Daphnia pulex: one gene and its partner. The protein of the gene in region 1 interacts with the protein of each later gene in a biochemical or structural test. Links are inferred from orthologs where the notes say so. Each region holds a gene or a part of one and is shown on either strand. Other genes may lie near its edges.

The links.
Region 2: of the proteins of partitioning defective 3 homolog (region 1) and atypical protein kinase C-like, one has a biochemical effect on the other in vitro, tested with the Drosophila melanogaster proteins (2 studies listed by BioGRID). The link is inferred for Daphnia pulex from reciprocal best matches to the Drosophila melanogaster genes baz and aPKC.

What each region holds. Positions count from the first base shown.
Region 1 is NC_060025.1:9,138,511-9,145,787, forward strand, and holds part of partitioning defective 3 homolog, read left to right. Parts: intron 1-17; coding exon 18-575; intron 576-903; coding exon 904-1,581; intron 1,582-1,963; coding exon 1,964-2,327; intron 2,328-2,492; coding exon 2,493-3,382; intron 3,383-3,456; coding exon 3,457-3,929; intron 3,930-4,034; coding exon 4,035-4,169; intron 4,170-4,316; coding exon 4,317-4,420; intron 4,421-4,783; coding exon 4,784-4,939; intron 4,940-5,310; coding exon 5,311-5,511; intron 5,512-5,753; coding exon 5,754-6,068; intron 6,069-6,213; coding exon 6,214-6,689; intron 6,690-7,277.
Region 2 is NC_060022.1:4,024,853-4,032,910, forward strand, and holds atypical protein kinase C-like, read left to right. Parts: upstream 1-3,130; 5' UTR 3,131-3,378; coding exon 3,379-3,449; intron 3,450-3,510; coding exon 3,511-3,632; intron 3,633-3,690; coding exon 3,691-3,780; intron 3,781-3,840; coding exon 3,841-3,977; intron 3,978-4,039; coding exon 4,040-4,412; intron 4,413-4,472; coding exon 4,473-4,645; intron 4,646-4,710; coding exon 4,711-5,126; intron 5,127-5,214; coding exon 5,215-5,333; intron 5,334-5,518; coding exon 5,519-5,688; intron 5,689-5,766; coding exon 5,767-5,882; intron 5,883-5,951; coding exon 5,952-6,039; 3' UTR 6,040-6,516; downstream 6,517-8,058. Other genes in the region: eukaryotic translation initiation factor 5A, read left to right, coding at 430-537, 602-769, 830-964, 1,048-1,119; F-actin-capping protein subunit beta-like, read right to left, coding at 1,697-1,936, 2,010-2,382, 2,446-2,657, 2,780-2,782. UniProt on the Drosophila melanogaster protein: Serine/threonine protein kinase which is required for apico-basal cell polarity in the germ line as well as in epithelial and neural precursor cells, for epithelial planar cell polarity and for cell proliferation.

The DNA.
Region 1 (7,277 bases):
TCCCGTTTTTTTTTCAGTCAAATGATGCTGCCATTTCTGTAGCGGCTCTTCGATCATCGGATGGTGCCATTCTAGATCCGGATGACCGACTGGCCGATGTCGTCGACGATCGGGAACAGTTGGCCGCTTGCCTTTCCAATGGTGGCGGCGGTGGTGGTGGCAGCGGATCTGAATTGGACGAGCCTTCCCTGGGTGTCCCCTTGGTGCTCGGCCCGCGGATCGGATTGATGAATCTGCGAGGTGACGGCACTTCGGCCAGTTCCAACTCCGGTTCACCTTCGCCGACCGATTTCGGTCTCCATCACCACGGCTACGGCGTCGTCGGCAGCAGTCATCCAGCCAGTCGAAAGGACATTGAGGTCACAGGCCAAGAAGCGGCCACGGGTCTCATGGTCGATCACCTACACCTGCAGGTCAGACGCGGATCAGAGCCGGCTCTCAATCGCATCAGTCCCGACGCTCCGTCTACCGCGCCAAACACCACAGGCTCCTCATCTTCTTCAGCCTCCACCGGCCATCACCTCCACCACCACGCAGACATGCCACCTACCACCTCCAACAGCAGAGACTACAAGGTAACGTAACACACATGACCAAACTGGGAGTCCTTTTTTTCCAGGAGAAAGCTCCAAAAATCCAATCGATTTTTTCTGTTTTTCTACTGGCCAAAAACAGAAAGAGAAAAAAAGCCTTGGAGCTTCTTTTCTCTTCTCGATAAAAAATGGCAATCATAATAATAATCCTTGAAAGTTTTCTCTGTGTGTGAATTATCTTTGTGCACCGGTTTGATCCGGTGTCAGTGAATTGCAGTTTGGAATTTTATTTTATTTATTTTTCGTTTGTTTGTTTGTTTATCTTTTGTTGTACATTATGTGGGTCAATACCATATGGCCACATGAGCAGAGGTGGTCGGCAGCCCCCATTGTGGATCCCACATCGGATTCCGACTGCGAGGAACGTGACTTGGAAGTCGTACGACGCCACCCGTCCGGCCCGCGGTTCGCTCGATCCGGCGCTCGCGTCTCGATGCAAATTTTTGGCGGAGGCGTTGGCAGCGCCGCCAACGGCGGAAGCCATAACAATGCTGGATATCGGTGGGCTGAAGCGGCCGACAATGCCTTACTTTCCGCCGCAACGGCTCCGACGGGGGTGGCTACGCCGACCGCAACTACTCCGCCCGATTATGAGGAGACGATGCACCGGAGGACCCGCAGCCTCAGACGGGAACCGGTGGGCGCCACCAGTGAATCGATTCCGCTCAGCGACGGCCATCACCACCTCTACCAGCCGCACCACCTTAACAACAGCAGCAGCAACAACAACATGCAGTCCCAATTGGCAACAACTCAACTGGTGGTGTTGCCTAATGAAGGCGGCCAACCGCTGGGCATCCACGTCGTTCCCGATTACTCGCCCCTGGGTAACGAATTGGGCCTATTGGTGCAGGGCGTCGAGCCCGGCGGCCGGATTTACCGGGACGGACGCATCGCCGTTCACGACCGCATCGTCGAGATCAATTCGCATCCGCTCAAGGACGTGCCTTTCCACCGAGCTCAGGAGCTCTTCCGCAACGCCCTCCAGGTATATTTCTTTTTCTCTTATCTCATTTTTGCCAATCTCGTTTGTCTCAGCTGTTTCTGTTTTTGTTCCTCCTCCCGCCACATTCCGAAAAGGTCGTTCCGGCCATTTGATTTTGTAAACTACCAAAAAATGCAAAACTTTTCCTTTTTTTTCCTGAACGATTTCTCGCCCAGCTGTTAGCTGTTGGCCCTGGCATTTTTGTTATCGTTTCGATTGCTTATCTGCCTGCCCTCCCCTCCCCCCCTCTCTCTCTGAGTTGACCTTGATTGTCTACTTAATCAGGCCGCCAGTCACGATCCATAAAAACGGGTTCATTCCCAAAATGAAGACCCTCATCGAATTATTATTTTTATTTTGTTATTTCTTCATTTGGGAAAATCAGAGTCGTGACCTTCGTTTGCGGATAGTCAAATCGAACGGAGAAGTGAATCGCGGCCCGGCGTCGGATCAGTTGGATGAAATGACGCAACAACAACAGCAACAGCCGCAACTAATACAGACTCAACAACAACAGGCGCCCCCTTCCCGTGTAGCCGCCGTGTCGCCAACTCGCAAGACACCGGCCGTCGTCCCTGGAACGGGCCGAGCCAGCAACGCCCTCATGACTGTCAGCACGAGGAAAATCGGCAAAAAACTGGATTTGGAGCTGACGAAAGGCCATGAAGGACTCGGCTTTAGTGTCACGACGCGTGACAATCCGGCTGGAGGGCTTTGCCCCATTTACATCAAGAATATCTTACCCAGAGGTTCGTTTTGTCGTTCGTTTTTCTTGACTTGGCTCAGAAATGTCAAATTCCGTTTTTTCCCAGGTTGTTTTCCAACCTTCTTTTCTTTCCTGGAATCCTCCCTGTTGTTCTTTTTTGGAATGGCAATCAATTTGACTTTTAAAAAAATGTTGTAATATTTTGCAGGTGCCGCGATTGAGGATGGCCGACTGCGCTCCGGTGATCGACTTTTGGAGGTCAACGGCGTGGAAATGACGGGCAAGACTCAGAGCGAGGTGGTTAGCCTTTTGCGCAACATTCCCAGCGGTGGTGTCGCCCGTCTCCTAATTTCCCGACAGGAAACGGAAGAAGAAATCCAACAGTCGAACCAATTGCAAAATCAACAAATTCAATCGTCTCAGCTTCAATCGTCGACTCAAACTCAGCAGACGAGTCCCAAATTGCCCCGGCAGATGAAATCCATCAGCAGGGCCAGCGAAGAGAGTCTGCTGCTCCTGCCCTGGAAGCAGCGCGAGATCCTCACACTCGACATTCCCGTCCACGACACGGAAAAGGCCGGCCTCGGCATTTCAGTCAAAGGCAAGACGACGTCGTCATCGGGAAATGGCACCAGCGACCTGGGCATCTTCATCAAGTCGGTCCTGCACGGAGGAGCCGCTTCCAGGGACGGCCGGCTCTGCACCAACGACCAGCTCCTTCACGTCAACGGCGTCTCTCTGCAGGGGCGATCCAACACGGAAGCGATGGAAGGATTGAGGCGAGCCGTCCACCAGGAGGGTCCTAAGCCCGGGCACATCACCCTGACGGTTGCCCGCAAAATGCACGCGCTCAAGGATCGTGAAGTGACGCTGGAAGGGCAGTCGCAGGACGACACGGTGAACGGAACGGTTCGACTGGGCGGCAACGGGGGCGACAGCTCCGGCAGTTACGATCATTCCGGAGGCAGTAGCGACCAATCCGGTTCCACCGTCATTTTTGTCAGCGGAAGTGGATCAGACAGTCGTGAGAGAAATCTCATGAAAGACAATCGACTCTCCGGAATCTCCTCTGATCTCCGCAACGAGAGTTACTACCGGGTAAGTTTCAACTTTTGATTTTTCCCCAGTTGAATTTGAATTGATTGAATTTTGTTTTGGTTTTATTTTTGAAGGCCACGCACGAAACGTGGAACACGACACAGTTGCAGGAAACTTTGATGAGTTCGTCGAAATCGAACGGTGGGCACCAGACGAGCGTAGTGCAGCAGGGTCCAGGGCGGAAGCAGCATTCGCAAAACAGCCCAACGGTCCATTTGACGCCGGGCGAGGTGGTTTCGATCGACGGTGATTACCTGCCGCAGTCGAGGCCACGCCCACCCTCTATGATGATGATGTCGACGTCCAACGGTTCCTCAGTGGCCTCTACACCGGATACGACCATGAACTTGCCTTGGCAGCAGCAACAACAACATTCCAATAATAACATTCGTGGTCCCGGTGGTCAACGCTCTGGACCAACGGATGGACGCGACCGACCGTGGCCCAATGCCGAGCAGCCACAACCGCCCCAGAGTCCCCTGTCGGAAACATCCATGCGATCCGATGGACGTCCCAGCGATTCGGAAGCGCCCACCTACACCAGCCAGTACGTCACGTTTTATTTTTTGTTTTGATTGTTTTGGGAAATTCTTTTTATTTGTCATTTCATTGTTTTGTTTTTTTCTTTGTTCTTTTTTTTCTTTTTTTGAAGGACTTCTTTGGACACGGACCCGAACGCTCCCGGCTTTTCTCGCGACCAGTTTGGTCGTCAGAGCATGTCGGAAAAACGGCACGCCTCGCTGGACGCCAAGAACACGGACACTTATCAAAGGAATAAGAAACTCAGGTCGGTAGAAGAACCAACGCGATTTTATTTTCCTCTTTTTTCCTATTGTCACCAAGACGACCAAAACGATGATTATTACACAATTAGAAGCGTACGGGACTCGATACGGTTTTAACACGTCGGAAATATTTTTATTGAATTCTACAGGGAGGAAAGAGAACGTCAGAAACAGACCCAGCCCGAAAGCGAACAGCAACAACAACAACAACAACCGCAAACATCCGCAGTGAAAGAGAACATGCCTCCATCAGGTAAAATAAAAATGACATTAATTTCACAAATTCTCACCTGGACGCTCCGTGTATTTGGTGATAGGCTAAAAGCTTCTTCTTTTGTCGGCGTACTTTTTTTTATCGGGAATAATATTAACTACTTTCGGCTTATTTAACTCTCTCACCTTTTTTTCTCCTTTTGATGCTTTTCCACGTAACGAGAAATAACAAAATAACATTCATTTAGACATTTAGATAATAATCTCATCCTAACCGTGAACCTTCGAATTTTGTTCTTTTTTCTCTCTCTCGTCTACCCTCTCCTACCACAACCCTCAACTCCTCCGACTTGAAATGGAAACATTGCGTGTCCTCTGGCGTGTTGTTGTGTGGGTGACTCAGGTCGGGTGATCCGTCGCGCTGTCAAGCGTCGTCACGCCCATCCTTTGGTTTCGCGTCTGGAGAAGGATTACCTCAGCTCACCCACCTATCACCGATCCAGTCCCAATCTTTATCAACCCAACGATGTTGTTGGGGGTGTTGGTGGTGTGGCTACAGGTGTGTGTGTGTGTCTGTCATGTTGTTGCTGTTGTTGCTGCTGTCCCTTAACTTTCTTTTAATGGCCCCCCTTCTCGGTCTCCTTCTGTCATTGAACTTTCTTTTTACTGGTGACTTATATTTTAAAAACATTTTTTCTGTAAAATAATGAACTTTTCGTGAAGGTCAAAGTCATTTGAAATTGCGGAATTACCCGGAGAAGTTCATTATTGCGGATTAATTGCGATAAATCTTTTTTTTTCACTTTCTCTCTCTCTCTCTCCTTTTCTGCACACGCAAATTAACCAAGAGACTAACCTCGACTGAAATTTCTTTTTTCCCACCCTCTGTTTGGCCTTATCTGGATTGGAATTGGATTTTGGTTAAAATAGCGAATCGCCGGGGGGTTGCGGGCACGGTTGATCGGGGTAGTCGCCTCTCTGTGGCCCCATCCATGATGATGATGATGACGGATCATTATCATCAGCATCAACGTTCTCGTGTCTCTTCGGTGGAATCCCTTCCCCTAATCGCTCCGTCACCTGTCCTATCCCTTCAACAAGGCCAAAGACGGCCGCCGCTGCTACCTCCATGTACGTAACGCAATTGCCGCTTGCTCGTGTGTGTGTGCACCTCTCTTTGTTTTATTATGCTTGCTCGGTTTTTTATTTTTATTTATCGCATCGCGCTGGGTGTAACGCTTTTTATTCCGTTTCTTTTTTGGTTGCCGGTTTGATCCGGTTTTTATTTTTATTTTATTTTTTTTCAATTTTGCCATTTTTTTAAATTTAAATAATGATAACCGTTGTGGATTTTTTAAATGTGCGTGAATCAGACAAGTCGCAGGAGAATAGCCGGCCGCTTTTCGTCCGTCCGGTTGACCCGCCTTCAAGAAACTCTTCAAGGGACATCGGCCCGACTTTGGGGTTGAAGAAATCGTCGAGTTTGGAGTCGCTCCAGACGGTCGTCCAGGAGATCCAGATGCAGGAGGAGGAGCCTCAAATCGGTTGCTACGGCTATCACCGGCCGACGGCCATCCGGGTGGTTCGAGGACGCGGCTGCAATGAAAGTTTCCGAGCGGCTGTCGATCGCAGCTACGACGAGTCGGGCCAGCCAACTGACGGCACCAACAAAGAGCCCATGGAGACACGTAAGCAACCCGGAAGCGTTTTACCAGACTAATGTTTTAATGTCCATTGAAAATTTCGTGAAACTTTCGGGATTTATTCCGGACTAGTAGACTGGAACATTCTTTTTTTTTTAATTTCTCTATTTATTTTCTCTTTGCGATTTAGTGGACGAAGCGTTGGAAGTTGAGGTGAATGAAATGATGCCACCGCCACGCTCTCCATCGGACATCGGAATTCCCATGTTGAACAACAAGAACGAGACGCGCAAGAGCAAAAAGAAGAACGCCAACGCGGCCGGACTCCTTTTGAAAGGCCTGGGCTCCATGTTCCGCTTCGGCAAGCACCGCAAATCCGCACCAGCCAGTCCAGAATCCGGTCATCAGTCATCCGGATCGGATCCGACAGTTTCGGGTCATCATTCCATGGCCGGCGGCCACATGATTATGCCTTCGTCCGGAAACCAATCTCACCATCACCACCAGAGCGAGCGGAGATCTTCTTCCGGTCATTCCGGAAGCATCGGCAGGTCGTCTGCCGTGAGCGAAGTGGACCGCCATCACGTCCTCAGACGAACTCTTCCGCCCGATGAACGTGACCGTGCAGAGCTCGGACGCCAAATGGCCATCGCCGTCGCTCGCCAGGTAAATTGCAAAAAACTCAAATTCGTGCGGATGATTGAGGACAAAGAAGAAGTTTGGGTTGACGTCATCTCGCCTTATGTGACGTCTAAAAGGAGAGGGGGGAAAACAACAAGTGATTCACCGGAAACATTTCACCGACGCTCGATTGTTTCGTCGAATAATGATGTTCGATTAAAAGCGAGTCTCGACTTTTTACGCATTTAATTCATGGGACTCCCACGCGTTCACAGGGAGCCAAAGTTCGTGTACACAGGATTTGCGGCTTTTTATTTATTTTCTATTTTTTTCTACGCGAGAGAGAGGAGGGTTGGAATAATTGAATGACGGGATATTGTGGTTTTTTCAAGTGCACACAAGCGACATTGTGAAAGACACACGATTTCACTTTGGGAAAATCAGTTTTCTTTTTTCTAGCTATAGAGCATAGGCTTGTAATCGAAGAATTTTTGTGAGTTGTAAACCATTTCGATCGTAATGTTTATTTTCCCGTTGCGGAAGAAATTAGTGGCCCCGTTTCTAGTCCATTTGCTGTTGCCATCTAACGGTTGTTTGTTCTGGCTTTAGAATTTCTGGTTTTTATTCTTTTAT
Region 2 (8,058 bases), on another chromosome or scaffold:
ATTTGTGTTCACTTTAATCGTGTTGTTGACGTTTGTATTTCTGATAGTTGTGTTTTTTGGGCTTGGTAAACGCTGGTGGTCGAAGTAGGAATGACACATGGCACATGAGGTTACTTTGGGCGCCATGTTGGGATTTTAACCGGCCTTTTCCACATATTATTGTTGCATATTCATTAGCCTACAGTAGTGTTCTCATGTAATTGGATTCCATATCCTTATTCCTTTTTTTCAGTTATATTTCTTTGGGTATTTAGTACTGTTGTCAAATTAAACTTAACGCCGTTGTAATAACTATAGTAGTCAGCTGCTGCGGCAGTGATCAATATAGAAGATAGTACTGAAATCGCTACCCCATTGATGTGAATGTTTCTAATCACTTTCTTTTTGTCACAGTGATTCTATATATCCATTCCCCTGAACTTGTACAACATGGCAGAGCTTGAAGACACTCAGTTCGAGTCAGGGGATTCTGGAGCTTCAGCAACATTTCCCATGCAATGCTCTGCTCTTCGCAAGAACGGTTTCGTCATGTTGAAGGTGATTATATAATAATAGAAATTATTTTAATCTTCATTGTACTTAAAGTGAATTTCATTTGAAGGCAAGGCCTTGCAAGATTGTTGAGATGTCCACATCCAAGACTGGCAAACATGGCCACGCCAAGGTTCACATGGTTGGTATCGACATTTTCAATGGCAAGAAACTTGAAGATATTTGCCCTTCCACCCACAACATGGATGTCCCTGTTGTCAAGAGGGAGGATTTCACTGTAATATAAAATTACAACTTTGATTATGTTAGTTTGGAATTAACAAAATTTTTGTTTTAGCTCATTGACATATCTGGTGATGGCTTTCTTTCAATGATGAATGACAACGGAGATTTGCGTGAAGATCTCAAGGTTCCAGAAGGAGACTTGGGTAACCAAATCAGGGCTGATTTCGAAAATGGTCGCGAACTTCTGGTAAGCTAATTTTACCCTATGCGATGTATTGTTCAATTTGATATTAAGAGTGGATGTATAATCACCTGTTTTTTCTTCTATAGTGTACCGTTTTGAAAGCCTGCGGCGAAGAGTGTGTGATTGCCGTTAAAGCCAACACAGCTGCCGAAAAGTAATTCACACAAATTTGTGAAGTTTCACTTCCAACTGGTTACCAATAAAAATGGAGAGAAACACAAAAAAATAAACGGGAAACAGCTGTGGATATTGGATTTAAATTCTACTTTCTTTCTTTTAATTTTGCCTACTACCGATTGATGTAAATCGTGGGGAGAAATGGGTATCTTGACCTTGTTGCCTCGTTTCATTGGATAAGTCCATCTCTTGTTCTGGTTTATTATTGCCTCCCCCGTTCGACCCAATGGGTCAATAGACAGACTTGTTAATGAACACTACGCTATTCTGCAGTTGATTGCAAGATAGTTGTTTAACCTAAACCTTACTCATACCCATTTCCCATGCAGCAAAACGAAAGAGTTCAATAAACCAATTTCAAGCACTTCAAAAATAATGGAGCCTTAAATTTAACGATTTTTACTTCAAACTTTTATTTTCCAATCACTCAACATGTGAATTGAAGCAAAACGGGCAACAACTTGATTGGGTAATGGATGTTATACTTTACAGGAGGGGAAAAACTTGGTTGAATAAGGGAAATAATAGGAAAATGCAATTTATAATATTATGTATCAGTTAAGGATCGCTTTTTCCTTGTCTTTTCTGCAAAGCATTAGCCAGATCTTCGCTGAAAGCCTGCTTTTGCTTTTGATCGGCCAAAGGCTGAATGGAACGCAGCCCGTTGACAATATCCTTAGTCTTACCGAAGTAAATTTCATTCAAAGTGTGCCTAATTTTGTTCTCCATATCTTCGACAAGACGACCCATGTTTACGATGTGCGACGTAGGCTCGCTTACTGTTCCGTCTTGCTCCATCTAACACGAGAGAAAAAATCGGTTCAATTTAAGGGAAATATCTCATGGTCATAAAAGTAAACAATAATATTACCTGACGCGTTAAGCTTCCACCAAGGTTCATCGTTCCGGAACCGGGACGACTGGTCTGCAGCCATAGCATGACTGTCGACGTAAGCTTATAGTGAGCCGAACGGCCGGTAGACTTTTCTTGCACTTCAATGACATGAATCGAATCCCAGCACCCTTTAATATTTCGAGCGCCATCACCAGCTCGTTTTATAAGAATGACTCCAGCAAATCCATGATCCAGGTCCCATAGGTACACAGAGGAGACTCCACCCTCAAAATACATCTGACGGTATTGATCAAATGCAGCATTGGCCTCTACTTCCAATCTACGTAGCCTGTCCGTGGGCAGTGTTCCATCTTCAAGAGGTGGTTCATAGGTGTTGCTCCATGGAGAACTGACAGATCAACATTTGTTATTATTAGGGTCAAGTTTTCAACACAACTGTAAATACTGTTACCGATAAGAATCTCCATCACGGTTATAATCACAGAGAAGATAATCTTTTCCTTCTCTCTTATCACGTGCAATTTTAAGTGGTTGATCCACTGATGATAGAAGATCCTCACACAGTTCAGGAACTAGGTCAATCAGGTCACTCAGGTTTTTTTCAATTTGCTGAGGAGGGAGACGTCGCATTAAGTCCAACGCTCGGTTCAATTGCTCCTCCGTCTGCAGAAACAAATAACAAGAGAAATATTATTAGACAAGTCAAATGTCAAATAAAATTTTCACTCTGAAATTGGAGGTTTAATACTAGCCGAAAATATGAATAAATTCGATTTTTAACTTACCATTGTTCAAAATGGACAGAAACGACAAACTTTTGAGATAATAAAATGGAACTGAAAAGGATTTCCGGCCTTTTTTCCCAGGAAAAACCAAAAAATGGGCGAGGTGAAAAATGAGTGGCGGTGACAAACAGAAATGTATGTTCTGAATCCGAAGTTGCGCTAAGCAATGAAAATCTCTGCCTGCTGGGAAATAAAAAAACGGTTGCGGATTCGAATTAGAATTCGAGATAAATCCACATATTAAATGACGGAAGTGTTGTTGGTCATTAAATAATAGCTGAGAATATTTAAAAAACAATTACAAAAACGATTTTTCTTTAAAATCAATCAAGTTTTGATCAATCTCGGAGAACGCCTCCTGGCGGCTGCATAGAAGGTTAATCCTCGAAACGTCAGTTTTGCCAGTATTAACCGCCTGACTCATATTTTTAGGTTAAAACTAAAAGTGTTTTCTGTTAGAAGTTTAAAGAAGTTATAGTGGAATCGTGGTTCACAATCAGTGATAGCCTCAAATGGTTACAATAGTCCGGCTGCCGTGAGGACTTGTTTGTAATTTTGAGGAAACGGCCAATTTGTGCCCAACCCACCTGTTGTTTTAAATGACGATGCCCACCACCCTCGTGAGTGATGGGGAAAAGGCCGAAATCAAAGTCAAGGCAGCTTTCAGCGGGTATACTTCATGTTTTTTTTTTCAATCTTTGTATGTACTTACCTCATTAGTTATTTTGCAGGAAAATTCTCGTGACTTACATAAACTCTGAGATCCTGTTGGATGATCTCCAAAATGAGATGCGAGCCATTTGCCAGTTTTCTCCTGATCAAGAGTTTACCATGAAATGGATTGACGAAGAAGGTTGTACAACACATACAATCCACACAGTTTTCTTTTACTATGATTTACATCCCTTTAGGTGATCCATGTACTATCTCTTCACAAGTTGAAATTGATGAAGCTATTCGTCTGTATGAAGTGAACAACGATTCAGAAATCACTATTCATGGTATTTTTTAATTCTACTTGTGTATAAACTTGAAATTTAATTACTCTTTTTAAAATTCAGTTTTCCCTAGTGTCCCTGTGTCACCAGGGCTTCCATGTTTTGGAGAAGATAAAAGTATTTATCGACGTGGTGCTCGTAGATGGCGGAAACTGTACAGAGTCAATGGACATCTTTTCCAGGCAAAACGTTTCAATCGCGTAAGTTTATCCATGCAACACCATTGATTCCCAGTAATCCTTACTTTCCATTTTTATGACAGAGAGCTTCTTGCGCTTACTGTCACGACCGTATCTGGGGTCTAGGTCGGCAAGGATTCAAATGCATTCAGTGCAAGCTGCTCATCCACAAAAAGTGCCACAAGCTTATCAAGATCAGTTGCAACACGGAGCAAGTGGCCGCTCTGAACACTCCATCCCAGGTTCATCTACTGTCAAATAGCGCGCTCAATACCAGTTCAGGGTCCGCAGTGACCGCTGCTGCTATTCCATCTATAAGCCCTGTTGTTAATGCCGGAGAACCCCCGACAGCGCTGCGACAGAATGGTGATGGTACCGAAGCACCGTCCGCACCGCCAATAGTACAACCTATTTTTGAGTCTCACAGTGTGAGTGTTCCGGTTGATGGAAGTCCAGGTACTTTATATTTCCATACAAAACAATTCAGATTTTTAATTGTATACTTTAAAATATTAGAAGAAGGTGTCGAAGGTGGTGCTGTTCAACGTCCGTATTCGATGGCGGATTTTGAATTGATTCGTGTGATTGGTCGTGGTTCTTATGCTAAAGTGTTGATGGTTGAATTACGACGAACTCGTCGGGTTTACGCCATGAAAGTAATCAAAAAGGAACTTGTTACCGATGATGAGGTATAAGAAAATTGATTCTTTGATTTTATCAACAACTTCTTCTAATTGAACAACTCGACTTTCAGGATATTGACTGGGTTCAAACGGAAAAACATGTCTTTGAGACGGCATCCAACCATCCTTTCTTGGTTGGCTTGCATTCGTGTTTCCAGACGACGTCACGCCTTTTCTTTGTCATCGAATTCGTACGTGGTGGTGATTTAATGTTCCACATGCAGCGCCAAAGGCGACTTCCTGAGGAGCACGCTCGATTCTATTCGGCTGAAATTTCTTTGGCGCTCAATTTCCTACACGAGAAAGGAATTATTTACCGTGATCTGAAGCTAGATAACGTCCTACTGGACCATGAAGGTCATATCAAACTCACCGACTACGGAATGTGCAAAGAGGGCATCCGTCCGGGTGATACCACGTCTACCTTTTGTGGTACGCCCAACTATATCGCTCCTGAAATTCTGCGCGGAGAAGACTACAGTTTCAGGTAATGTTTACAAATTAAACCCAATAGAATCTGGAACGCTAACTCCCCTGTAGCGAAAATGTCTAACCTTTTTCTTCGTTTTTATCAGTGTGGATTGGTGGGCGCTGGGTGTATTGTTGTATGAAATGTTGGCCGGTCGTTCACCTTTCGACATCGTCGGCGCTTCAGAGAATCCTGACCAAAACACTGAAGATTATCTGTTTCACGGTAGAGCTTCATCTTGTCTTCTTTATTATAATATTTGCTTTGTGGAAACTCGCGAGTCCATTTGATAAAGTTCGCAAGAAAAACGGGGTCTTATCAAGATCGCGTGACCTTTTTCCACTTGAGAGGATTGTAAATGTGTTGTTTGTAAAACATTGTGTGTTTTTTCTTTTCTTTTCATATTGCAGTCATCCTGGAAAAGACGATTCGCATTCCCAGGTCGTTATCTGTGAAGGCTTCTTCTGTCCTCAAAGGGTTTCTTAATAAGAATCCAGCTGATCGTTTGGGTTGTCGAAAAGAAACGGGCTTTGTCGATATCGTCCATCATCCATTCTTTAAATCAGTCGACTGGGAAATGGTATGAACATCTCTCTCTTTTACACGTTTAATCCACATTCTAGGAACAGATTACTAATCTTTTTTCATACGTGCACAGTTGGAGAAGAAACAAGTGGCTCCACCTTACGTGCCTCGTCTAGATTCCGACCGTGATCTGGCTCACTTTCCACCCGAGTTCACAGACGAACCAGTCCAACTGACACCCGACGATCAGTAAGTGATGGATCGTCTGTCGATTAAGAATCGATTTTTATTTTTGTTTTATTTTTTGTTGCTTTGCAGGACGGTCATTGAACGCATCGATCAGTCTGAGTTTGAAGGTTTCGAGTACGTCAATCCTTTGCTCATGTCATTGGAAGACTGCGTCTAGGATTAGAATAGAAAACGAAGCATTCGCTTTCATGCCATTATAAGATTTACACTAAAAATTGGAACCACACACACACATGTTTCATAGGGAAAGTTTGGCAGGTTTCACGGCAGCAAAAATTCTAACAGCCTACCATTTCTTCTCTTTCGTTTTTTTCCCCCTCCCCTTTTCACCATCAGTTTATTCGGTCCAGTATTTTTAAATATGATAGATCAAGTCTTAATCGACTTTGCGTCCATTCCAGTTCTTGCCTCATTGGAACATCTTTCTTTCCCTCCGTCACCTTTTCGATCTGTTGTACAACTGCCTTCATCTCTTTTGTCTTCTTTTCTTTTTGTGTCACTTTTAAAAGCCATTTTGTTTTGGTCACTTTTAGCCAAAAAGAAAATCTCTGTCTGGTTAATTATTATATTTCCGCCTTACACAGATCGCCTTTTTCCGTCTTGTTAGAAATATACAAGAAAGATGTCGACACAATCAGCTAGATGGCATCCACAGTCAAGAAATGGTGGTGGCCTTTTAATATTATAATTGGTGAAACCTGTTGTTGTTCGATGGGAAAGGCATTTCTACGGTACGACGTGCCGTTAGCACAATCGTTGGTTGTCTTTATGCTAAACGATGTAATGCAGAGGAAAAAGGGGTTTATTACTAAATATCGATGAGAGAAAAGTAGTTTTTATCACGCACGAAACCACTCGTTTATTGGTTGAAATTTTTCGAACGAAGAAAGGAAAGAAAAAAAAAGCGTGTAGGAGGAAGTCGTTGTCGGACATTTCTTTTCTAGAAAGAAACGAACATCGACCGTTTTGCGGTTGGATTCCCCTATACATTTAAAGAGATACACACACACAAACTCGTCTTGTGTGTGTGTGTAAAGGAATAAAGAAAACCCCAGAAAACATTTTACGCTCTCTATTTTTATTCTTTCGGGGCCGCGGAAAATGTCCCTCACCCTATGGTGTTTTCTTATCCTTTTTTTCCCATTGCGCATTCTTTTAATTTCGATGAAAAAGGTTCTTTTATGGAAATATTTATAAAAGAATCAGCCCCTCTCTCTCCCCCCCTTAATAAAAACAAAATCAGGTTTATATCCTTGTTTTGTTTAAGAAGGATATCTTTTAGATTAGACAAATTTTCGTAATCAAGATTTCACACACACAATCAAGTTTTAGTCGAGTTTCGTTTTTTTTTTCATTTTTGTGGTTGCAGGCGGAGCGACACAACCCAAAAAGTTATACCGTTACATTTGTTACGTCTCGGGCTCTTTTTTCTTAACACACGTAGACCTTGGGTGCCAAAATGGCCTCCGGCTACTTAAAGGTCGTATTAAGCGTACTTGTAAATAATAAAAATGCTGCTGCATTTTAAAAATGTAGGTATAAACCTACGACAGACGCTTTCGTGATAACTTGGCATCCATTTGGCTGCCACATGTTTATTTGACTCGTATTTCCACGATGTTAGTCAAGAATTCAGTCGGAGAGAAAAGAAAAAAAAGGACACATAAATTCATGTTTTGGTAGCACGTGGAGGGGGTACACACACACACACACACTGAAAATCCAATCGGCGCCATGTTTTTTTCTTTTCTCCCGAACGCGAGGAATTCTCCAATCGATCGACAAACGTCCTTGAACCAGAATAATTGAAAAACACAATTTTGGGCGAGCGTGTTTGCCCTTTGCTAGGCAACAGTGTCCGCCGGTGTACTTTGCCTTCCTGTCTAATATCTGGTCTATGGCTGCTGTTACGTAAAACAAAGTGTTGAATTTATCTGCTGATTTTAAGAGTGTAGCAGCATTCAAAAGGCGTTGTGTTGGTCATGCCCAAAACATCAAATGATTCATTTAGCTCTCAAAGTTCAACCATCTGGCGTGGCAACAGATAAAAACAAACAAACACACAAAACGTTTTTGAGTCGACGACGTAATCGCGTTTGCAATCAATTGAACAATGTTTGACATCACATTTTACCTTATATTCTTAACGTTATTAATTTCGGGAGAGGCTAGACAA